2 linked regions of the Drosophila melanogaster genome follow. The protein of the gene in region 1 interacts with the protein of each later gene in a pairwise test. Each region holds a gene or a part of one and is shown on either strand. Other genes may lie near its edges.

Region 1 (3,345 bases):
CCCACTAGCGACCAACACGCAGAAGATGACCAGACCTGGCGTTGAATAAAAAAAAAAACCATTAGGTTCCAAGTCGCCGGCAATCGCTTAACCACGAAAATCAGAGAGAGACAGCACGAGAGCTACGACTTTGCAGCCGGCGTTTCCACTGAATTTAGCGTCAAATTAAAGTTCTCCGGCTCAAACACCGAGCAGGCTACGCACCTAGCTTTAACATTTTCCTATATTGTGGTTGCGCTTTCACACGCCGCTTATATTCTATAGGAAAATAAAATTAAATCGCTCAAAAATCACCGCCTGTCCCTCGATATTTTATACACGTCAGCGGCCGAGACAACTATCGATATGTTTCTGGATCAACAAACATCGATGCGTAAACGAAGAACCATCGATGCCCGCTGCAAGAGTGACCGTATGCATGCTCTACTGTAAACTCAACCGTTATAAAACATTACGTTTAGATTGAATTTAAATAAAATGTTAATTTAAACTAATTGCATAGAATTTCTCAAACTGCAAGTTTAATTTTTATGTAACATTTACAATGAAAGATCAAAATTAAATAATATTCTGTGGGCACTACTCTCATACAATTTCCACATCTAAAGTGCAAACTTATCAGGACACAGATCTATAGGTCTGGTAATAGAATATTTTCTTTTGAAAGTCTTGGTGAAATCTCCCTCGTGATTCCATACTGTTACGGCAGTAGTGCAGTAAAGTGGATACTTGTTGACCAGAACTTCCTCGGTCTCTTCGTTTTTCGGTGGCACATCCTTGCAGAACTGGTCGTAGTACTCCGTGCGATCCTCACCCAAATCCACTTGGGCGGAGGCCTGTCGGTTGTATTCGGCAAAGAGTTCCTGCCATAGAAACTGTTCCATGCGATTTGCTCTAGTGGCTGCATGACCATTCGGATTAGAAAAGTTCTAGAATACTGCAGTCTTAACTTACGGAGCACTTTCTTAATTTTGGGTGGAGCAAAACTCGCTTGAGATTCCGTTAGTTCCGTTGAACATGGGCCCACTGGGAGTACCAAATTATTTCCACGATCAACCATTGCAGAACAAAATTTATATATTTTTTCGATCTAATACTAAGGTAAATAATTTATTCGTTTGCCAGTGACAGACTGACGGCTTACACTCTACCTACTTCGATATAACAAACTAGCCGGAAACTGCTAGGCAACGGCCTGGTCCTCAGGACTTTCCTGTTGATCCCCTTGCGGGAAATCGTCCTCCACGATGAGGGATACTTCCTTGGGTCGGAGTATACAGTAGTAAACGATTAAAGTAGCCAGAAATAGTATTCCACTGTAAACGATCCACTCCCAGATGAAACCGAACCACCAGGACTCAAACTCCTCGTTTGCATACCAAATGGACGATATGGTAATGTTCTCGACGAGCGTGAGCACCAGGTATCCACCATACCACAATCGAATGTTCTTGAAGGACACGCGGAATTCCATTAACACAAATATATAGATGTAGGCAAGAAGAAGGAGGAACAGGCTGCGACTCCAACTACCACGACAACGGGTTTCCAATGCCAGGCAACCCAGCATCAGCGCATAGTGTACGCCCACCAGGATAAAGAATGCCTTCGGATAGAAGACACAGAAAGTGGACAACGAAAGCATTCTCATGGTGATGAAGGCAATCCATCCGAAGAAGGACACCGTCCTGCCAGCGAAATCATCCTGTTGGATACCATTCACTATTTTCGTGGGTCGCGGGAAATAAAAGTCCACCACATCCTTGGGCGTTAGAGGTGATGGTTTGGGTGATTGGGGAATCAGAACAGTGTGCTCCTCGGGATCCTCGTCCTTGAGCCTGCCAATGAGAAGCTTGGGCGGATGTGGGACATTCTCTTTGATGTACAGCTGGGCATTAACCAGCAGCATATCCTTAAAGGTTTCCAGCTGGGACAGAGGTCGTGTGACCCGACGGCTCTTTCGATGCTCATTGTCGGACAAGGTTCGTCGCAAGTCGGGCGTTGGAGGATCCTCCTCGGTTGGCTTCAGAACGGGCAATTCTGGTGGCGCCGTTTTTGGCGGCGGTGGAGGAGCTGGCGTCTCGGGTATGCTGTCCAACACCTCGATGGTGTCCAAGTCCCCCAAGTCCTCGTATCGCACTTTCAGCCTGGGCCTTGTTCCCTGTATCTTCTCCTCATCGGTAGCATTATCTATCGGCCCGGAATGCAGTAATGCTCGCGTTTCCACTTGCTCCAGTGCATCGTTGTCCACCTCATCTTCTCCCTGAATATGCAGCTCATGGGTGGCCTCACCTGAGTTCGGCAATGACTTGCGGGCTCGAAAGTTCTCCATTATCTTGTCGGATTCCGGGAAACTGGTGATGGTGCGCTCGGACTCGCGCTTTTTCCGCTCAGCCTCACAGCATAGGCGTTCATTCTGCTCCAGCTGACATCGATGGCTGTCCACCTGTTGCGGAGTGGCCCAAGGATAATGGCGACCCACCCGCCGCTGGCTTTCGATCCTATGATAACTGGTGGTTATGGCAGCCAGATCAATGGCTGAGAATACCAGCGATAAGGATTGAACAGCAGCTAAAAGCAAGAAGTTAATACATTGCTAATGCCATGAGGATATATCTTACAGGTCTCGTAATTGCGGAACATATCCTGGACGAGCATGTGATACAGCTGGAGAATGATTTGTGGAGCTGCCTGGGCATAGGCCTGAACAAAAAGTAACAACTCGATGTTGGAGGTTTGCGTGGCCTTGGCCAAGCATTTCATGCGCTCCACATCGTCGTCGTCGTGAAAGAGTCCCTCGATGGCCCAAAACAAGCGCGTACAGAACCTCATCGTTTGAAAGTTAATAAATATGGCAGTGACCCACATGGCAATCCATTGACTCACCTGAAGATCACAAAGAAGGGGAACAGGAACAGCTTGAGCAGTCCAATGCCAAGGGCGACGCATTTATTACGTTCCGAGCAGGCGCATTCCCTTTGTTCCTTTGAAGCCGCGACCAGGATGAAAGTGATCACGGGGGGTAGGATAACCAGGACCAGGGTGCCAGCTCCCAGTGTCGGCTCCTTTTGCCTGAAGTGCTGGTAGCTCAGGGCCAAATCCGAGGCTGTTTGAACGATGTACACCAACAGTCCAAGACAGGTGGGCACTATGTAGGAAACCCAGATGCGCGTGCGGCTACGAACGGTGTAACCAAGTATGTGAGGCGGAGGAGTGGCCGCATGGACCACCGTGTCTGTCATGATTCCGATGGGAGTTCCCCTTTGAATCTGGTATTGTAATTGCGTTGCTCACATCTGCAGCTTGCGAAATCCACGGTGATACTGAACAACTATGAGTAACCGC
Region 2 (3,980 bases), on another chromosome or scaffold:
TCCCTGCACATTTATTTATGTATTTCCCCAATTGGCGTGTAACATAGCAAAAAGAAAATCAATCAAATTCAATGCTAAAGGGATTTCTTGCCTGCAGCCTAAATTGGCATGCGAACCGGTCTTGTTTACAAACAAATAGTACGTGAAATTATAAGTAGAGGCAGTAAGCTGATAAGAGCGCGTTACGAAACTGTTTCGAAGAAGAACAGCAGTTGGCCAGCAGCTGATAAGAAGGTGAGACAAAGAAGCAAAAATGCCACGCTGCGATAAGCGTGGCGCCTTAAATCGTAAAGTTCTTTTAACTGATGTATTTCGGTAACATAGGCTAATAGCGAATTTAAATTGGCGCCCAGTAGTATTGGGTGTTTATCGATTGACATTCAGGGCTACCTGCCTCGAGAACAGAAGAGCTATCGATAGGCAGGTTGTACAGGGATTTTTTAGTGATAAAGTAGAGTGGTTTTTTCTGCGTCTTTTTCCACGGAAGCTGTTAGTTAAATGAAAAGTAATTTAATTGCAGCAAACTGTGGCTTTAATTAAAAAGGTTTCTCTGAAGGTAAAAAGTACTTTTTCCGTTGAATGCAATTCTTCAAATGTGAACATGCTTAAGTGAAACGCGTGAAATTCCAGAGATTTGCCCATTTTGGCAATATAGGTGTTGTTGTTTTTGTGCTGCGATAGCGCTGCGCAGATCGTCTTCTTGGCTGAAAATCAACCGGATCTGGCTAGAAGGCCGCCAAGCGAGCAGAGCTTAAAGCCAAAAGACACAGATTGATCATTTCTATATGTTTTTGCAGTGTTTCACTCGCCGTGATCAGAAAACGTTGTACACCAGGTGCAACAGGTGCCGTTGTTCGCAAGTGAAAACCAGTTGAAAGCAACTAAAAAAGAAAAGCCCACAGAATGCCGCCCGTGCAGTAAGCAGAATGTTCCGCCCCACTTTCTTAACGTCCTTGTCTTCAAAACGCCCACATATTGCATCATTTGGCAGCATAATAATCATCGTTATCCATTCGCACAAATAAGCATTTCGCTAATTAATAAAAAAATATAACTAATTCAGGCTAGCAGTGCCTATCATTCATGCCCTAATCCAGCGTTAACCCTCTGCCAGTGATGGTGGTGCTTTGGACCCCCATTCAATGCAATTTTCCTGCCAGATGTTTACTCCATCGATGACGTCATGGTCATATTCAAATTTATTTTTAAACGCCGCCACTCGAGTGTGTGTGTGTGTTTGTGCGAGAGTGCGTGTCTGTGTATTGTTTACTCTTCGTATTTTTGTGTGTATTCGTCGGATTTGATTATGATGAGTGGGCCGCTGTTGTGTTGGCGGCAAACCCAATTCCAATTGGATGCTTGAATTTGTAACCCCTTTTGGAGGCCAAGGAATGTTCAATGACTCAACCAGTAATGGGGAGTTGATAGTTACATCTTATTATATATATTGTTTATATACAAACTTTTCAAATGGCGCTCCTGCTTGTAATAATTACTTCAATTACTCATTATAGCCATTCATTGTTATCCAGCTTAAAGCGAATATGATAGTTCTTCGTATATATTTTATATATGTATATATAACCTGTTCCGAAACGATATATCACCAAGCCATCACATCTGCAGCGTATCACGCTTGATATCCAACTGCCATGCGACACTCTCTGTAATGAAAGCTAAACTTCCACGGAATGCCAGAAAGCTTTTTGGCTGTGCATTCGAAGGAAATATGATTCAGACATCGTCAACAGAGCCGGCAAGCGATAAGTCTCATTGTTTTGTCCAGTTTCTCATTTCACGCCCTGCCCTAAAGTCGTTTTTCTTTGCGCTCAAGCTATAACCATGATGTACTCTAAGGCTGAAGTGTAATGGCCTCTGAATTGGTTAGTTACTTACCAACAACTGATCCTGATCTTCTTCTTAATTCACAGAGTCCAGGCAGCGAACATGTCGCTGGGTGCCATGCATTGTACGCGATGTGCCGACGGCTTCGAGCCGACTGAGAAGATTGTTAACTCCAATGGAGAACTCTGGCACACCCAGTGCTTCGTGTAAGTAAACCTCAATGTAGTTGTTTCACTAATACCCTCACTAATAAACATTTTCTAGATGTGCCCAGTGCTTCCGACCCTTCCAGGATGGGATATTCTACGAGTTCGAGGGCCGTAAGTACTGTGAACGCGACTTTCACGTGCTCTTCGCTCCCTGCTGCAACAAGTGCGGCGAGTTCGTCATCGGACGGGTCATCAAGGCCATGTCAGCTAGCTGGCATCCACAGTGCTTCCGCTGCCAATTGTGCGCCAAGGAGCTGGCTGATTGCGGATTCATCAAGAACCAGAACCGCGCCTTGTGTCACGAGTGCAATGCCAAGGTGAAGGCGGAGATTACCGGCCGCTATGTATGCCAAAAATGCCAGTAGGTTTCAAAGGCTTTAGGTGAAAACATGTTGCTAATTACTCTGCTTTTCAGCGGCCTCATCGACGAGGAGCCTTTGCGATTCCGGGGCGAAGTGTACCACGGCTATCACTTCAGTTGCACGGCCTGCGGCACAGAGTTGGATTCCACTGCTCGGGAGGTCAAGAGCCGGCCAGGATTGGCTGCTAACGATATGGTGGGTTTTTTTTTCTTTAGCAAATAAGAAGCAACTGAATTATTATTCCATTATAGAACGAACTGTATTGTCTGCGTTGTCACGATAAAATGGGCATTCCCATATGTGGTGCCTGTCGTCGTCCGATTGAGGAGAGGGTGGTAACGGCGCTCGGAAAGCACTGGCATGTGGAACATTTCGTGTGCGCCAAGTGCGAGAAACCCTTCTTGGGTCACCGACACTACGAGAAGCGGGGATTGGCCTACTGCGAGACGCACTATCATCAGCTCTTTGGCAACCTGTGCTTCGTCTGCAACCAGGTTATTGGAGGCGATGGTGAGTAACTTAATTGAACTATATTCTGGGTTTATTTAATGCGCTCATTCCATAATGCCAACAGTTTTCACTGCCTTGAACAAGGCCTGGTGTGTGCACCACTTTGCGTGCTCCGTGTGCGACACGAAGATGACACAAAAATCGAAATTCTACGAGTACGACGAGAAGCCGGTGTGCAAAAAGTGCTATGACCGATTTCCAAACGAACTCAGACGACGTCTGCGCACCGCCCACGAGATGACAATGAAAAAGAACACCTAATGCCTTGGAGCGAGTCTCAGATCCACACCAAACAGTGCCTTTGTCGTTGTAGACCCGCTTTCACTACCATTTTTAACATTTGAGAAACTAAAACCAAACAAACTAAAACCTCTTGTGCATGTCCTTTCCGTCTGTTGTAATCCGGTTGTGTGTAACTTAAATTTTAAATCGAGAATCAACGGCATCAATAGCTAGGGAACATAACATTGTGTATTAAAAGCCTTTAACGTTGTTATTTAATGGAATTTTATTTATATATAAATGTTTTTAAAATTATAAAACGTAATGCTTATTCGCAATAACTTCGTAATGTGTTTGACCCGATTTAGTTGTGGTGTCAAGTAAATGGCATTTGATGCACTTAAAATTTACAAGCTCAACAGCTTCTGAATAAGACTTCCCGATTTAATTACGGCTATATGGTTGATATATTTGATACTATCAATATGAACTGACTGATGGACCTTCAAAACCTCAGCCAGATAGGAAACCTGTGCTGCATTCGGGTTGTGCGGGAATTCTATAAAGTGTTTGTTCAAATGTTATGCTCAAGACAAATGTTTAATATCCATACCGTCAATCACGCAAAGGTTTGTGGCACAGGGAGCGGTGAAGTCTAATGGATAGCGACGGATATCCATTTCGGTTATGTCCTCTACATTCGTGTAATCGAGGTACATTACCCGGTACTTTGTCTGCTGCCGTGGAACAACTATAATCTGTTCCACTTTGCCACGATACCAGGAACCCTCAAATCTGGCAAGCACATATTCCCTGACACTGTCAAAAATGT

The links.
Region 2: the proteins of CG14488 (region 1) and stck interact in a two-hybrid assay, tested with the Drosophila melanogaster proteins (2 studies listed by BioGRID).

What each region holds. Positions count from the first base shown.
Region 1 is NT_033778.4:17,766,665-17,770,009, forward strand, and holds CG14488 (uncharacterized protein), read right to left. Parts: upstream 1,123-3,345; 5' UTR 1,061-1,122; coding exon 955-1,060; intron 902-954; coding exon 603-901; 3' UTR 501-602; downstream 1-500. Other genes in the region: OstDelta (oligosaccharide transferase delta subunit), read right to left, coding at 1-35, 205-217; CG18635 (uncharacterized protein), read right to left, coding at 1,184-2,571, 2,622-2,827, 2,887-3,242.
Region 2 is NT_033777.3:8,356,540-8,360,519, forward strand, and holds stck (steamer duck), read left to right. Parts: upstream 1-1,788; 5' UTR 1,789-1,842; coding exon 1,843-1,865; intron 1,866-1,931; coding exon 1,932-2,051; intron 2,052-2,109; coding exon 2,110-2,415; intron 2,416-2,469; coding exon 2,470-2,611; intron 2,612-2,667; coding exon 2,668-2,926; intron 2,927-2,990; coding exon 2,991-3,187; 3' UTR 3,188-3,421; downstream 3,422-3,980. Other genes in the region: veneno, read right to left, coding at 3,556-3,707, 3,762-3,967.